Linked DNA regions of Notamacropus eugenii. The protein of the gene in region 1 purifies or fractionates together with the protein of each later gene. This does not show direct contact. Links are inferred from orthologs where the notes say so. Each region holds a gene or a part of one and is shown on either strand. Other genes may lie near its edges.

What was found.
Region 2: the proteins of EXOC2 (region 1) and EXOC8 purify together in Homo sapiens (affinity purification with mass spectrometry; 7 studies listed by BioGRID and IntAct, counting the BioPlex papers as one, with this or other methods). This does not show direct contact. The link is inferred for Notamacropus eugenii from reciprocal best matches to the Homo sapiens genes EXOC2 and EXOC8.

Annotation. Positions count from the first base shown.
Region 1 is NC_092875.1:171,539,156-171,548,655, forward strand, and holds the start of EXOC2 (exocyst complex component 2), read left to right. Parts: upstream 1-5,723; 5' UTR 5,724-5,804; intron 5,805-9,500. UniProt on the Homo sapiens protein: Component of the exocyst complex involved in the docking of exocytic vesicles with fusion sites on the plasma membrane.
Region 2 is NC_092873.1:389,686,322-389,694,819, reverse strand, and holds the start of EXOC8 (exocyst complex component 8), read left to right. Parts: upstream 1-4,374; coding exon 4,375-6,561; 3' UTR 6,562-8,498. Other genes in the region: DNA-dependent metalloprotease SPRTN, read right to left, coding at 3,654-3,877. UniProt on the Homo sapiens protein: Component of the exocyst complex involved in the docking of exocytic vesicles with fusion sites on the plasma membrane.

The DNA.
Region 1 (9,500 bases):
GACCTGGGCTCAAATTCAATCTCAGACACTTGGTAGCTGTGTGACCCTGGGCTTCAGTTTCCTCAACTGTAAAATGGGAATAATAATAGAATCCACCTCCCAAGATCATATAAGGATGACATAAGAAAATATTTGTAAAGCACAATACCTGGCATGTAGTAGGCACTTAATAAATTCTTATTTCCTTCTCCTTCTTACTTAGCCTCTTCTAAAACTCTAGGCAGCTCTTTAAAAACCATAAAGTACAAAGAAAGTACAGACTTGAATTATTTTAAGGAATTTCCTCACCTAGGTGCTCCCTATCTATATTAATGAAATTGTGAGTCTGGTTCACAATGCAAGATAGCATTGTTTCCGTTTTTAATCTTTTCCATTAAACTATGCTTTGCTAGTTTCATAGCTTAAACTATTTTTAGCAAGGTTGTTATTTTCTTTACTATATTCCTAATGGCTAAGTACAGTGTTAAAAAATAAGAAAAATATATCTTCCTTGCAAATAGATATAGATAAAAATTGATCCTTGTGGAGTTACTCCTTCCCCACCCCTACACCATCCTGAGTACAGTAAAAAAAAAAAAAACTAAACTAAAAAATTAAACAAACAAAAAACCCTGTCCTCTTCCTTCTCTCTTTTAATAGAGAATCAGAATATAATTTTAAATGTGTACAGAGAATTAATTCATACCTAATTTGGAGTTATAGCAAAAAGAAAACTGTCCTAAAATTTCATAGCCTTTCAATAAGAATAAAAATTTAAATTTTGACAGCAAAAGTGGTATTAATAAGGATGATGGGCTATTGTTATCCATATAAAATAAAATGGAAAATGGGCAATGGCACAAAGGAAAACACAAACATGAAGTATCTTTGCAAATGTGTCTCTCTGAGACATCCTGACTTAAAACACAAAACTGAAGTGGATATAAAATACTAAGGAGTAGAAATATCAGTCCATGTATCAGTTTTGTACAGCTGTCAACAAGGTATAAACATATGACAACTCATCTTACGTGAATCGGTTATCTAAAACATGTAAACCAAACAATGCAAGATAAAGGAGATTCTTCAAATTTCTTGCCCCACCCCTATGAAGAAAAATTTTATCCTCAATAAAATAATACAACTTGAAAGAGACTGTAAAAGTACATGTCTCATGGACACTATAACTAAGAAATTTTAAAAAAAAACCTCTCTTAGAGAGCATCGGACCTCCTTATCTGACTATGCAAGAGAAGTATATATGGCAAACTGCCTGCTTCCTTCATGCTCAGGAGAGACACATTTCAGTCCCTGTAGTTAGCAAGCCCAATCACTTTCTAACATGGTTCTCCAGTTACAGACTCCAGTAATAATCTTAAGAATTGTCAAAAGCAGAATACCAGTTAACAATCTTCTTACAATGAGTGGCTGACTCACAGAAGAAAAATGTGTTATTTTTTTAAAAATTAGAATGCCATAGTCAGCATTATTCTTTATATACAAGTGACTGTATCAACATACAGAAGGAATAAGGGAGTAAGGGGAAAAATAAATCTTTGAAATATGGCTGAAGAGATGGGGTGATGTAAGCTGAGTTATACAGATTGAATAGGTGATAAAACACAAAAGGACCCTAAAAATTCAAATGCCTCTTCCATCTTTCTCTTCTCTATCTACTACCAAAGAAGTCTAATTCCTTTTGTAACCTCCGTGTGAGCCTTACTCCCATTCAGACGCTTCTTTGAAATCTTAACATGCAAATTCAGCTCCAACTTTTAACTTCTGCTTGATAGTGGGGAGGAAGGGGGATGCGGAATATCCACTGGTTATGTGTCAAAATTCAAAACAAGGCATCATAAGAGGATCTTTTGAAGAGAAGGGAGATTTAGCTAGGGGTATACCTTAATCCATCACTAATTCTAGGGCAGATGAGTGATGTAGACGTATGAAATATCAAGTTATTAAAGTTAAGATTTAAAAGAAAGAACAACAGGTTTTTCCCATGTTCTGTGCAGAAACAATATAGTTATAGTCTTCATGCTGTCCTCATTTCCTCTTCTCCTCCTTTCCATGATTTCTCAGGGTGTTTCTCAGTAGTTAGCTAACTGTTAAATCTGATCCTGAGTTACCTGCTGTCAGGCAGTCCTCGTACTGTGACCTCATTTACCTCCCTAGGAGTCGAGTTAAAATTAATGTCAAAGAATGTAAATTCCAGGATGGAAAAAGGAAGAGGATAAAAGTATGAGGATGACATTTAAAATAAAAGAATAAGGAGTACTGCAAACATTTCTCCATAAAATGAAGTATGTGATTTACCTTCTCTGCACCTTGGGAATGGACTCCCTGAGGAAGGAATGAGTTCTTTATTACTAGAGCTCTTTCAATGGAAAATAGGTGACCCTTCATTTGGAATAGGGTAGAGGGGATTCCTAGCTAGGGACCAATTGAACCAGATTACATTTCTCTGGAGTTCTCCCAATGTAGAAGAGATGACCATTCATCTGGATAGCATAGAGAGGATTCCTACTCAGGGACAAGTTAAAACAAAAGGTCTCTTAGTATTTGAGTCATAATGAGGTTAAATTCTTAGGATCACAGATTCAGAGCTAGCAGGGACCTTAGAGATCCTCTAGTCTCTCTCCTTTTTCAGAGGAAGAAACTAAAGCTCCGAGAGGTAAAGGGACTTGCCCAACACCACACAGGTTTAATGACAGAACTGAGATTTGAATCCTACTTCTCTAATACCAAATCTAATATTCATACCACGTTGCTTCCCAAACTCCAATGTTTCTTCCAACTGATATTGAGGAATTATATTATTCTATTTCAGTGCAATGGAAGTGATCACATTTGCCATTAGAACATATGTGACTACTTTTAGAAAACTTTTCAAGACCTGAAGACTAATTTAATCTTTTAAATAATGGTAGCAATAAAAAAACAGTAGGAGATCATCACAACCCAGACTAACATAGTTTTATTTTTTTTTATAAAGCCACCTTTTCTGAGTTAGTTTTATTACCATTAGAGAGAAGTCAGAGACATAATTAATTTTTACATTATTTTGAGTAAAGTTAAGGAAGAGCACTTCATTTTTATAATCATCATTTTGTAGGTAAATAAAGTGAATGCTTATGTTATTGAGAAAGAGTGAGTATTTATCTACAAAATGTTTCTGACTGAGAAACATTAGAATTTCCTTCAAGAAAAATGAGTGGTCAAATGTCACAAAGCAGTAAGAAACCACAATGTCCTGTTACTAATAATTAAGAAAGTGTGTAAGTCTCACAAGAGAAAGTTGTAAGGTTTTGGTATCATATAAAAACTATATAGCCTTTAACTCTTATTTTTATTCATCAGATATCTTGAAGGAATAATGCTCTGATGAACTAAAATTGTTTCAATTCATAATTTATTAAACTGTTCTTCAGAATGTGGAAGGTAGATTTAACAAAACAATTGAATTACTTGGTAGGTGCTGCCATTTTTCAAGTATCAAGAAAAGATTCTGAAGGGTACAAACCTCATTTAAATTTTAAGAAGGACCATGTTTTTAGGTTTCCTGAAGAAATGACAACAATGTATATTAGAAGTATAGATGTTAGATATTCTGGATACATGCATATATATTTCTTCCAACATTAATTGGTCCACATTGAAAACATTAAAAATGCTTAATTTTTGAAAGGTGATTAAAATGTACACTTTTACAGAAGGGACCTATATTAGAGAATACTTTAGCCACAGCAACCACCTTTTCTGGCTTAGCATGGTTTTTCCTCATGTAAATAATGCTTATGTAATTGTAGCCATAAAAATAATCTAGCACATTGTACTGTTTTTGGTTTAGCTCAAAAATGCACTATTTTAAAGATGATACAGTATGCTCGAAAACAGGTATTATAGACAAAGTCTTCGGTGATCCCAATGCTGTTCTCTCACTTCTGAATTATTTTGTTTTTTCTCCCTTATGATACTAGTACATGGGAGTTCTGATTACAAATATTTATTGTAGGAGTAAAAAAGTAGTTTATTTACAAAGCAAATTAAATGTACTTTTTGGAGTTAGTTTCTTAGTTGAAAAAGAATACTGAATGAAGGGTAGGTATATGTCTAGTATCCTATCTTCAAACAGGTTAATTTGATTTTGACTGAAAGGATATATGTAAAGACAGAATGAGTGCCTTACCTACACATAATAAGAGTAATAGGTGCACATAGTAAGACTTGCACATAGTAGGAGCTTAATGAATACTGTTTTTTAAAAAAATATTTTAAAAATATTTTTATTTTATTTTACTTTAAAATGTTGCATTTGAACTGTCACAGTCAGTACATGGATGAGTGATATTTTTGACTGAGCTCATGAAAATGTAGTTAAATATTTTCAGTTGTACAAAATAAATGAACTTTTTTTGTGTGTATGTGAGTATTGTTTAGAAAAACACTGCCTCTGGGTCAGCTGTGCACAGATTCCTTGGACAGGTCTTTAAAGGAAAGAAGTATTTTGTTACAAGCCAAGAAAGGAAAGCAATGTGAGATTTCTAAATGCTATTGAAGATCGTTTAAAAATGCAAAAGGCTCTCGGATCTGTTTGATGTGGAGAAGTTGACTGGACTTGTTCAGGAAGAACATTCAAAATGCTTTGTGCATTAATTTATGTCTTATTTCTCTTAAAGTATGCCAAAAATCATTTGGGGGCAGGCACAAGTACAGCAATGCATTTCATTCTCTTTTTTTACTTTCAATGATAAATGTTTTTTACTTTACAATATGCCGTTTCTGTCCTACAGTTACACTTATTGAGTGAATTACTGCCAAATTCAGTCAATAGTTACTGGTCCATGTTTGTTTAAAGCAAAAGTTTAAAAAAGCTGAAAAGTCTTTTAACTTTTTTCACTGGCTATTAGTCAGTTTTATGTTATATTACAGTATCACTAGTCATTTTTCATTAATCAGTGGCGTAGGGCTTATTCTTACAAATAAGCTAGTAAAATAATACGGAAAAATGACTGAAATTCTAATTCAAATTAAAATCTTCTAAACTAAAAAAAAAAAATTCCTCTAAATATGTTTTTCTAGGAAAGCAAATACAGCCAACCCCAAATCTAGTATCACTGCTGAAGACATTGCAAGAGGTATTTTAAAATACAGAAGATACATAAAAGTACAAAAGCAATTTGAGGACTTTTTATTATGCAAACGAAACATGAATTAAAAGCGTATAAATTTCTAGGATGTGATCATAATGACATAATTAGAAAGGAATTTTTAATTTGTTCTAAACTGAAACTCTAAGAGAAATCCTTACAGTGTTAGAGAGTTGGAAAATTATTACTTAGGAAGAAGAACTTTTAAAAATGTTTTCAGGAAAGAAAGCCAGTTAGCAATCCATCAGCTCTTAAATATATTATTCCTGTCAGCATATTCATTTGGTTTTGTTAGCAGATTGAATATGCATCATGTTCAATATACTTAAAATGCAACAACTATGCAAATTAGCATGGCCCCACACATTCAGGATCTGAAAGAAATCAGTCCCAGCATAAATGAAATTACTCTGTGGACAAGTAGGAATGCAATGAAAAATTGAAAATCCAGCCCACATACTTAGGGCACCTTTCCCCCAGTAGAGTTATTTCACAATAAGACTACCATGTGATTTTCATTTTTCTCTCTTTCACATTTTCTGGCATGAGGTTGAGGAGAGAGGGTGAAGGTGGGAATGACATGACACAGTGGATTGAGTCTGGGCATGGGCCTGGAATCAGGAAGACCTGGGTTCAAATTTGGCCTCAGAAAACTTCCTAGCTGCATGATCCTGGGTAAGTTACTTAACTTCTGTTTGTTTCAGTTTCCTCCATTATAAAATGGGAATAATAACAGTACCTATCTTGCAGGATTGTTATAAGGATCAGATGAGATAACTGCAAAAAGAATTTAGCACAGTACCTGGCACAGAGTAGATGCTATATAAATGCTTTTTTCCTGCCCCTTCTTCATCCTTATGATTTGAAATCAGAGAAAAGTGGTATGACTGGGGGCAGGTACAGGGGAGTACAGAGAAACGAATGATGGGGAGATACTTGAGGAAAGAGAAGGAGAAACTGTGGAGACACAGGGCAGCCAGAACGCTCCTTTTGGATTGAGATGAATGTTGAAGTTTGTGGTTTTTTTTAAAAAAATTGATTGCTATGTATTAGATACTTTTATGAAATCAAGCATTAAGATCCCCTATACACCAAGATGCTTGCTTCATGTGTAACCTTGGACAAATCTTTTAACCTCCCTGGGCCTCAGTTTATCTAGCTTTAAAATGAAATGGGTTGGATTTGAAGACTTCTAAGTTGATTTTCACAAATAAAATCCTTCAATACAAAAGCTTTCAGCTTAAGAGCTGGAAGATTTGTGTGATCTGCTACCAGCGAGATATTAAGAGTAAAAGGCATGGTGGGTAAGATCAATGCTACACATATATTAGGGGTCATATCAGATGATTGGAGAAAATCGGCCACTCAGTCAAAACTTGGTAAAAAGAATAGCTTGCTAAAATATACATTAATAGGATCTCAGATTCTAAAGTTCATCCTCCGCATTTGTAGATAAGAATGCTAAATCCCAGAGAAGTGGCTTACTCAAAACTGCACAGCTCTTGGTCAGTTCTCCTGAATTTCTGCTCAGTGCTATTTCCATGACAGCACAGTTATTTTTATATGTATGGGCTGGTTTGGGGCTCCTTATTCCCTTCCCTGTGGCTCTTTGGCTGTTTCATAGCTCTAATTTCACCCAAGGGTGAAGAAAAGCAGGAGAAAAAAGGGATGCTCTCCAAGGCAATCTATTGTGCTGTGCTTGCCGTTTCAGCAAAAGGTTATGGTTAGGAGAAAAGTTGAATCTGTTGGCTAAAATGAGGTACTGGAAATGATCTGTGGATTTTAATTATTCATGCATTCCTCATTCCCCTGTTGCCATGACTAATCTGAAGTTTGTGGTAAGCTGTCCTGGCTGGGTCACGTGAGAATGGACGCAGCAGAAAACTTGAACATCTGCTTGAAAGTGAACTGAAGGAAGGCTCTTGTGAACAGGGTGGACAGACAAAGTATTTCAAGAAAGCATAGCCTGAAGCGATATCATTACACTGTGAACAGCTGGGATGCAACTGGAGGCCAGAGGACAAGCTGCCATGCTTCCATCTGACATGGAGGTGGAGCTTCCTCAATTATCTTAGCTGCTATCATATTGGATACTTATTAGGTGCATGTCTCTGTGTCCACTCCTTAGAAGAATTCAGTGGAACACCGAAGTGGTGAGGAGCCTACCTTCTGAGAACTTCTAGTCCTTTACTGTTTTCATGCAAAGCAAAGTGCTAAAAGGAAGAATTAAAAAAAAAAAACTGGGCTAAAATTTGCACTACTTTGGGTTGAGGTGACGAGGGATCAGTGGGTCTGACATCAATTTGCCAATGCTGATAAGAACGTGTTTCTGATACCATGGGAAGTGATATCATTAATGTGTGGTCTAAAGTCCTACCAGGACTCAAATGAAAATCTGGAGGCCAGCTAAACATGAAAAACTAAATGGATAAGAATATAAATATCTAAACCTAGATTTGGCAGGTAGTAAAAGAACTTTGTCCACCCTTTTGCTTCTGCTATAATAGGGAGGAGTCAGTGATATTGCTGGACAATTTTCGAATTAAGTGATCTAAATCAATAAAGATGTCCAGCAGTCGCATGAGTGGTTAACATGCATCAGAGGCTATATGCTTGTTTCTGAAATGAATTAATACTGACATTGGAAATTCCTAATTCCAACAACTAACTGGTGAAGTGCATAGATAAGAATGTTGGCCTTGGAGTCAGGAAGTACTGAATTCAAATCCTGACTCAAACGCTTAGTAGCTGTGACATCCCTTCCTCACATTCCCTCTCTACCTCCTCAACTCACATCTTTCTTAACCTCTGTTTATTCATTTATAAACTGAGGATAAAAATAGTATCTACCTTGTAGGGCTGTTGTGAGGTTCAAATGATGTAATATTGTACGGTGCTTTGCAAATCTTAAAGCACCATACAAATATGACCTATTATTTATTATTATTATTTCCCAACTGAAAGTACTCAGGACAAGTACTTTTTGTATTTTTTTAGTAGCAAGAAGAAAAATAGTTTATAGAGTCTTTGTTACTGGTTGAGATCCACCATTTTAGTGGGATCCCAAGTGGGAAGAAGCAATACTTGACATTTATGAAAATACTTTACTATACCATTGCATTTAATCTAACTGCCTGGTACATAATAGGTAGTTAACTTTTTGTTGATTGATGGATTAAAAGGAGCTGGGACTGTCTCAAGCAGGCAATAAGAAGCCCCTAAAGATTTTTGAGTGGTAAAGTAACATTAATAGACCCAAGCAAAAAAAAAAAATTAGTCTGGTAACAATATAAATGATAGAATGGAAAAAGTCTTGGGAGTTTTGGAAGACAAGGAGCCAATGAAGGATAGAGAAAAGGAGTTAGCAAAGTAGGAGAAAAATCTAGAAAATATGTAGTCTGTGAAGCCAAGGGATTAGAGAAAATCCAGTAGGAGGGAGTAGTCATCAGTGACAAGTGCTGCTGAGACAGGTGAGGACTGGAAAAAGTCAGCTGGTTATTAGGTGGTCATTCTTAAACTTTTGGGGGATCACTTCAGCAGAGTTACAAGGAATAATCAGTAAGTCTGAATAAGCATTAATTACACAAACAGTGATAGGCAATGTGCTAAGCTCTGAGGATACCTAGAAGACATTCAACACGGTTCCTGCATTCATGGAGCTTATATTCTAATAGGGGAACTAATATGGAAATAACTGTATAAACAAGAAATATTAAGAAGAAATGGAAGGTTATCTCACAATGAAGGCCTGGGGTTGTTTAGGAGATTGAGGAAGAAAAGGGAGGTGAAGGCCTCCTGCAGGAGATGGGATTTGAGCTGAATCCTGAAAGAAGCAAGGGAAGCTAGGAGCTGGAGGTGAGGTTGGAGAGCACCCAAGGCATAGGGGAAATAGTGAAAAGGTAAGGAGGAGATAAAGTACTCTCTGTGAGAATCCAGTGTTGCTGAATGGTAGAGTGTATAGAGGAAGGTAAAAACATGTGAAGTCCGGAAGGGCAGGAAGGGGTTAGATTTTGAAGGACTTTCATCCTGGTGGAAGTCAGATTGCAAGAAGTTAAGGAGAGAATAAGGGTTGGGATAGGAATGATGTAAGAGCATATGATATAGGCAAATTTCTTCGTTAAGTTTAGTAGTAAAGGAAAGAGATTTTTCATTGGCAACTAAATGAGGTGAAAGGATCAAGGAATTTTTTTTTCAGATTAAAGAGACCTGAGAAAATTTGCAATTTTCTCTTTTTAAGTGAATAATGATTTATTTTTATCATTTCCAATCTTTGCTCTTTTTGTTTGTGGTGTTCTACTAAATAAATATCTTTATAAGGTTTTATTTCATTTTTTATTTCTTTCCTCTTCCTTTTTATTTCTAGCCTACAGT
Region 2 (8,498 bases), on another chromosome or scaffold:
GAATATAAACTCTCTCACTGGAAAAATAACTGACCTGGAAAGTAGATTGAGGAGAAATAATTTAAGAATTATTAGACTACCTGAAAGCCATCACCAAAAAAAGGGATCTAGACATCAAATTTCAAAAAATTATTAAGGAAATATGTGCTAATATCTTAGCTCCACCAGGCAATTAGAAACTGAAAGAATCTACCTACCAATTACCTCCTGAAAGAAACCAAAATGAAAACTCCCACGCATAGTATAGCCAACTTTCTGAGATGCCAGGACAAAGAGAAAATACTTCAACCAGCTTGAAAGAAGCCACTGAAATACTATGTAGACAGGATCACACAAGATTTAGCAGCCTCCATGTTAAAGAGGAGGGCTTGGAATATGCTCTGGAAGGCAAAGGAACTAGGATTACAACCAAGAATAACCTACCCAGCAAAACTAAGTATAATCCTTCCAGGGGAAAAAGAATGCTTGAAAATTCCTGATGAAAATAATCGGGATAAATAGAAAATCTGACATTCAAACACAAGACTCAAGAGGAGAATAAAATGATAAACATTAATAAGCAATCACAAAAGACACAAAAGTTTACATTGCTATATGGGAAGGTGATACACATAACTCTTAAGAACTTTATCATTATTAGGGTAGTTAAAATCTATAGAGGTCATAAGTCTAAATCCAATACAACATTGAGATGATTAAAAAAAGAGGGTGGGTGGTAGTGAGAAACGGGGATACAGTAGGAGGAGGACAGGAAAGGCAGAATGTGAAATTTTTCTCACATAAAAGGGCACTTTTTGGATGCTTTCTCCTTTCCTTTTCTGTGACACTACTTTCTCCTGGTTCTCCTCTGTGTATAAAAGCTCCTTCTCATTCTCTTACTAATTAATCATCCAAATTATGCCTCTCAACTGTGGGTCTCCTACACCTTTCTTTTCTCTCTAAACATTCTTTTTTGGTTACCTCTACAGCTCTCAAAGGTTTAACTATCAAATCTATACTGATGATTTGGAAGACACAGAGATCCAGCTCAATTGTCTCCTTGGAGCTTCAACTTCACATGACCAGATGCCTATGGACAACCTGAGATACCTCAAACTCAACATGTCTAAAACAGAACTCATTATTCTGTCCCTGAATCAACTCTTGCTTCTTCCAAACTTCCCCATATCTGCCAAAGGCACCATCATTCTTACAACTGTCCAGGTTCATAATCTTGGCCTTATCTTCATTTCCTCAGTAGCCACATAATGAATCAGTTGCCAAACCTGTTTCTCCTTCCACAACCTAGATCACACCTGATATGTTTTATCAGACCCTTTCTTGATACAGCAACCACCCAAGTTCAAGCCTAAATCACTTCTCACTTGATTACTTTGAAGGACTCCTTCCTAATTGATCATCCAGATTCAAATCTCTCCCCACTTTCAGTCCAGGCTACAATTCCCAGATTTTTTTTATAATGCCTCTTAGCCTATTCTTAAATTACAAGAGGAAGCTCAAAAGAAATTTCAGCTGAATTTAGTCCCAAAACTCAACTTACAAACCCAGCAAGGTAAAAAGAGAGGTACACAACAGGCATTAAAGAGCCAAAACAAAGTAAAACAGCAATTAGGTATACGGCCATTACCAATACAAAGGCATCTTAGCATTCTGGTAAGCTAGTATTTGGGGGGTGGGGGGGGAGGAGAAGGGGAGAACACTTTCTATTTCTCAAAATTTGATCCCTTCCAGATGGTCATAAGGTAAAAATGAGGACCGGAAATTCCTTACATGAACTTAAAAACTACTTAAATTACCAAGCTCTGCCTCTTTTTAAAGGCTATCAGGAGCCCTTTGAATAGCCATTTTCCATAGAGTGAACACCAACAACCTTCTGCCTCAGCATTTCTTGATGACATCTCATCCAACACAATAACTACAAGAGGAGAATCAAAGGACTCTGGTCACAAACTAAGAAACTCACACTGAGATATTCCCATTTGAGGCCTCTGGTTTTTCCATTTGATGCTGTATTTTAACAAGTTGAAATATTATCTCAAGGAATGTCACAAGGAAGAACTTGTCTGGGAAAGCAGAGATCATAAAACCCTGGGCAAAGCCTTCATTTGACTTTCGAATTATTCTTCTCACAGCAGACTTTTTGAAAACATGACTATGAGCTTGTCTCATATCTCGATCAGCAAGCATCAATTTAAAGTGACAGAGTAGGATTAAGGGAGAGATTTCACCAGTATGCCTCAGGTATGAAGAGGGTCAGGCCAAGGCAGGATGAGCCAGGACTCCTGGGTTTCTACTTTAGGGCAGTACTGTCCAAAGTGATTTTTCTTAATCATAAATATGACTAATTCTTCCCTTCTAATTAACCTCCAGTGGTTTCCTGTTTTCTCTGGAATCAAATAAAAACTCCTCTTCTTGACTTTCAGTGCCCTCACAACCTGACCCCACGGTATCTTTCTAGGTTCACTGGACATTACTCCCTCCATTACTCTGAGATCCAGCAAACTGGCCTTCCCTGTTTCTCACAAACACTCCATTTTCCACCTCTGTCTTTCCTTCACTGTCCCCCAAGCCTGAAATGCAATCCAATCTCAACTCAGCTTCATAGAATCTCTTCCTTGAGGGTGCAATTCAAACCACCTTGTATTTATTCTGTTTTTTTGGAGTTTTTTTTATACTTGTACGTCATTGCTGTCTGCCCCTTATTAGGAGCAGCTCCTTGCTGCTTGCAAAAAGGGATTGCTTAATTAATTAATTATACTGATATGCCCAGTGCCCAGCCCATAGTGGTCATTTACTAGCTGCTGACTAATTGCTGCATATCAAGAGAAAGGCCACCACACCAAGTTGACTGCTTTCCTGTGGAATGCTTTTTGAGAAAGATGTGGATAAGAGTCCCAAAGAAAAGTAAGGCATGGATGGAAGATTCAAACTCCTTCAACAAATAGAAGAAAAAACTGAGTCCTAGGAAGGATTGAGTGACTCGCCCAAGGTCAAACATGTATCAAGTGGCAGAGTTAGTAACCAAATTCAAGTCCTGTGATTCTAAATTGGATTAGATGACTTCTGAAGCCCCTTCAAAATCTAAATCCAATCACTGCGGCAGAGGGTGGATTACCAGGTGGTGATTTCTGAGTGCCGGAAGCGGGGTGGGGGGGGTGGAAGCGGAGAGGGGGGTCAGAAGGAGGAAAGGATCACAGACGCTCATACCAATCAAAGTTTGGGGGGCTGCGCTTCAGTAAGAATCCACATCCATTAAAACATAATTCTTACTACTGAAGCAAAAGAAGGGGAGCACTTGTAAACACTAAGGCTGCTAGGACTGGGTTCAAGCCCTGGGGAGGACGATAAGATGCGTATCTTCTCCATCAGATTTTGCTTCAGGGCAAGGCAGGTTCTAGACTACGAAGTTCCGGCCCAGTCCTCCGCATTCAAAAGTACGCAGGAAGGAGGGGGAGGTAAAAGCACAAGACGGCAGAACTCATTTTTGGCTTTATCGCTCCAAGAAGAAATCTGGGCCGGGGCAGCCCAGGTCCGCGCCGGGGGCAGCCCAGGTCCGTGCCGGGGGCCAAGGGGCCCGAGGGACCGCTCCCAGGCGGGGCAGCCCGGGCTTCCCCGCCCCCACGGCCCCCAGGGCACTGCGGGGACGGACTTACAGCGTCATCCGAAAGCTCCACTTCACCTCCACCGCCTCCAGCCGCCCCCAGAAATACAGCTCATTGAACTGCACGAACAGCGCTCGGGGATCCGGGTTGGGGTCCACGAGCTCCCAAGCCTCGTCCACCAGCGACTTGGGCTCCTTCGGGGGCGAGACGAACGCCGGGACCTCCGTGTTCCATTCCTCCTGCAGCTTCAGGGCCAGCACAAAGTCCTCTTCCATCCCGGCCGGGAGAGCGGAAAGGAGCCCGGAGGGAGGAGCCGGAAAACACCGAAAGATGCAAACTCACAGTGCAGCCAGCTGGGCTCCTGCAGGCTGACGCCGGAGTTTTGAATCAGCGGGTCGGAAACGGAAGCTGATCTCGCGAGAACCACAAACCATCAACTTCCGGTATCTCCGGGAAGGCCTGAGTCGTCAGAGCCTTGACTACCGGAGGGAGTTTCCCAGTCGCCGCCTCCTGCTTTTCTTCCTCTCTTAGTCTTAAGTGTTTTTTTTTTTTTTTTTTGCACAGGCGCAGCAGTCAGGTGGCTTCATTTTCCTGACACCCCTTAAGCCCGCCCTCGGCGCGCATGCGTCGTGATTGGCAGCCAGCGCCGGCCGACTCCTTCCGCGCAGGCGCATTCACTTCGCTTCCGCCCGTCTCCCCCGGTCCCTGAACTCCGTCGGAGTTGGGTGGGTCTCGGCGGCCGCGGAGACCGTGACAGTGACTGGGGGAAGCGATGACCATGGCCATGTCAGACAGCGGGGCGAGCCGCCTGCGGCGGCAGCTGGAATCGAGCGGTTTCGAGGCGCGGCTGTACGTGAAGCAGCTGTCGCAGCAGTCGGACGGCGACCGGGACCTGCAGGAGCACCGGCAGCGGATCCAGGCGCTGGCCGAGGAAACGGCCCAGAATCTGAAGCGCAACGTGTACCAGAACTACCGGCAGTTCATCGAGACGGCGCGCGAGATCTCCTACCTGGAGAGCGAGATGTACCAGCTCAGCCACCTGCTGACGGAGCAGAAGAGCAGCCTCGAGAGCATCCCGCTCACCCTGCTCCCCGCCGCCGCGGCCGCCGCCGCCGCCGCGGGAGCCGCCGCCGGGGCCGAGGAGGGCGGCGCGGGCGGCCCGGGAGGCCGAGACCACCTGCGAGGCCCGGCCGGCTTCTTCGCGGGCCACGGGGGCGCCGCCCGGGACAGCCAGAGTGCGGGCGAGGAAGGCAAGCAGCGCACGCTGACCACCTTGCTGGAGAAAGTGGAGGGCTGCAGGGACATGCTGGAGACCCCCGGGCAGTACCTGGTCTACAACGGGGACCTGGTGGAGTATGAGGCGGACCACATGGCCCAGCTGCAGCGGGTGCACGGTTTTCTCATGAACGACTGCCTGCTGGTGGCCACCTGGCTGCCCCAGCGCCGGGGCATGTACCGCTACAACGCCCTCTACCCGCTGGACCGTCTGGCGGTGGTGAACGTCAAGGATAACCCGCCCATGAAGGACATGTTCAAGCTGCTGATGTTCCCCGAGAGCCGAATCTTTCAGGCGGAGAATGCCAAGATCAAAAGGGAGTGGCTGGAAGTGCTGGAGGAAACCAAGCGGGCCCTCGGCGAGAAAAGGCGAAGGGAACAGGAGGAGGCCGCCGCCCCGCGGGGCCCGCCCCACGTCTCTTCGCAGGCCACCAACCCATTTGAGGACGATGAAGAGGAGGAGGAGCCTACTTCTCCCGAGGTCGAGGAGAAAGTGGACTTATCGATGGAATGGATCCAGGAGTTGCCGGAGGACCTGGATGTTTGTATTGCCCAGAGGGACTTTGAAGGGGCGGTGGACTTGTTGGATAAGTTAAACCACTATCTGGAGGGCAAGCCGTGCCCACCTTCTGTAAAGGAGCTGAGGGCCAAAGTGGATGAGCGAGTCCGGCAACTCACTGAAGTGCTAGTCTTTGAACTTTCCCCCGATCGTTCTCTAAGAGGCGGTCCTAAGGCCACTCGAAGGGCAGTTTCTCAGTTAATACGACTTGGCCAGTGTACCAAGGCTTGTGAACTGTTTTTGAGAAATAGGGCAGCAGCTGTGCACACTGCCATCAGACAGCTGCGAATTGAAGGTGCCACTTTACTCTACATTCACAAGTTATGTCATGTATTCTTCACCAGCCTTCTTGAGACTGCTAGGGAGTTTGAAACTGATTTTGCAGGCACCAACAGTGGTTGCTACTCTGCCTTTATTGTTTGGGCCCGTTCAGCCATGGGCATGTTTGTGGATGCTTTTAGCAAGCAGGTATTTGACAGCAAGGAGAGCTTGTCTACAGCAGCCGAGTGTGTAAAGGTGGCTAAGGAACATTGCCAGCAGTTGGGTGATATTGGGTTAGACCTTACTTTCATCATCCATGCACTCCTGGTGAAGGATATCCAAGGAGCTTTGCACAGTTATAAAGAAATCATAATTGAGGCCACCAAGCACCGAAACTCTGAGGAAATGTGGAGGAGGATGAACCTGATGACTCCAGAGGCCTTGGGGAAACTCAAAGAGGAGATGAAAAGCTGTGGGGTGAGCAATTTTGAACAGTACACAGGGGATGACTGCTGGGTGAACCTAAGCTACACAGTAGTGGCCTTCACTAAACAAACTATGGGCTTCTTGGAAGAAGCTCTGAAATTGTATTTTCCAGAGCTGCATATGGTGCTTCTAGAGAGTCTTGTGGAAATAATATTGGTTGCAGTTCAACATGTGGATTACAGTCTCCGATGTGAACAGGACCCAGAAAAGAAAGCCTTTATCAGACAGAATGCATCCTTTCTATATGAAACAGTCCTCCCTGTGGTGGAAAAAAGGTTTGAGCAAGGTGTAGGAAAACCTGCCAAGCAACTCCAAGACTTGAGGAATGCATCTAGACTTATTCGAGTAAATCCTGAAAGTACAACCTCAGTGGTCTGATACACAGCACTTGTATTTTTTTTTTCCAGAGAGGTCTGTTTGTCTATATACAGCATTACTAGTATATTATTTATATAACACATTAAAATCTTCTTTATATCCCAGAACATAGTTTAAAAAAATAAAAGTAAAAAAGGTCATCTCTTATGTAGCAGTTCAAGATGAGAATGTGAAGAATGAAAAAATGGTTAAATTTTATCAAAGGAGTAAAAATCCATTAAGATAATTTGATTTCATCTAATATATTCTTTAATTACCCCTATTCCTTATACCTTGTTGGTCATACCACAGTACTATGCTTCATGATCCTAGGGGCCAAATCACATTTGTTGTATTATTTGTGGTATTTATGCAGCACAGAGAAATATATCTATAATTACATGCAAATCAAACATGTCAACACTTTGTTTCCAAGTTCTGTAAGTCACTGGACTACCAGAAGAATTTTCTGTTTATCTTCAAAGGTATAGTGCCATATAATTAACCCAATTTGCTTCCCTTTAAAAAAAAATGTTATTCAGCAGCATAGTCAAAAAATATTAGCAAACTTAACCTTAGGGTAAATTTCAGACAAAAATGTTCAAGAAGACAGTTTATTTTGTTGAAACTGAGACTATGCCAGTCACTTTAGTGTATTAGAAAGAAACGAGTTAATAAAAATAAATTGTGCAATTAATTTTGTTAGCACAATTGGAATAAACTTAATTACATTTAGTTGGTTATTGTCCTTTAAAAATCTGCTTTGGAAACAAAATGCTTGGAAAACCAAAGTGCTGTGACAGTCATTTGTTTCTTGTTCTTGAATTTTAATTTCATTTTCTTTGTGACATATAACAGTGTGAGGAATATTTAACACCATTAACTGCTTGAGAGTTCCACTTTTGGATTATACACTGTCTCAGACTGCAGGTAGGGGAAAAAGTCCTTAATGAGGAGTCTAGCCTCTTAATCAGGAATCAGAAGAATGATTATAGAATGTTATTTCTCAAACACAAATGTATTCTACCACATTTTACTGGTATTAATTTCAAGAAAATTGCATTTGAATGTTGTAGAAACCGCTGGTAAGTCTTATTCTTGGTTCACCTTTAAAATGAATGTAATGCTTCAGCTTCATTAAATACGAAGTGCTTTTAAAGAATCTTGGGCTTCCCAAGACTATTTCGACTCACTGTTTCAGCTGTCTGATGGATAGATAATAGTCCTTACGCTCTGCCTCCTTTTGTAGCACTCCACCATGGTTGCACAGGACCATGGGCCATTAAAAATTTTTTTTTTGATTAATGAGTTTCTATGGCCAAATGTTTTGTCACCTTATAACCTGCATTCTGTCCTTAGATAACAGACTGGGGGACTAAATCTAGTAGGACCTTCCAGAGTGTATGCTTTGCTGGCTTAGCCTTTGAGAACCCAGGATGTTCCATGCCATGATGGGAGAGTATTGGAATACAGCAGCCTATTCTTTCCTTGGCTCCTAGTTGTTGTAACTTCTGTCACAGGTGCCATTTTTGAAGGTGTCCTTTCTGTTATTTAAAAATTGGCATAATGTGAAAATTATATGTAGTTGTAGATGGATTCCTTGTAATCAAAGTTTCATGACTTAATTAGGAATACACTAAAGTAGCCAGCTATGTTTAAAATGTCTAAAGGCACCAAAATTTCAGATTTATTTGGCTAGTTTCACAAAACCTCAGAGTTATTTTGATGGGAAGAAGCCCACATATGTCAGGTGGGCAGAGAAAATTAAAATATACCTTGGTTAATGCTATTAAAAGATTCAGTTTCAAAAAGTTGGGGGAGAGGAGCAGTATTAGTATTTTTATATGCCATTTAATGTTTTTAAAATCTTATGGAAGCAAACCTCTGTAAATGTATGATGTAGAATATTTGAAATGATGCTGGCAAAATTAAGGTTTTTTTAAAATTCAAAAATAAGG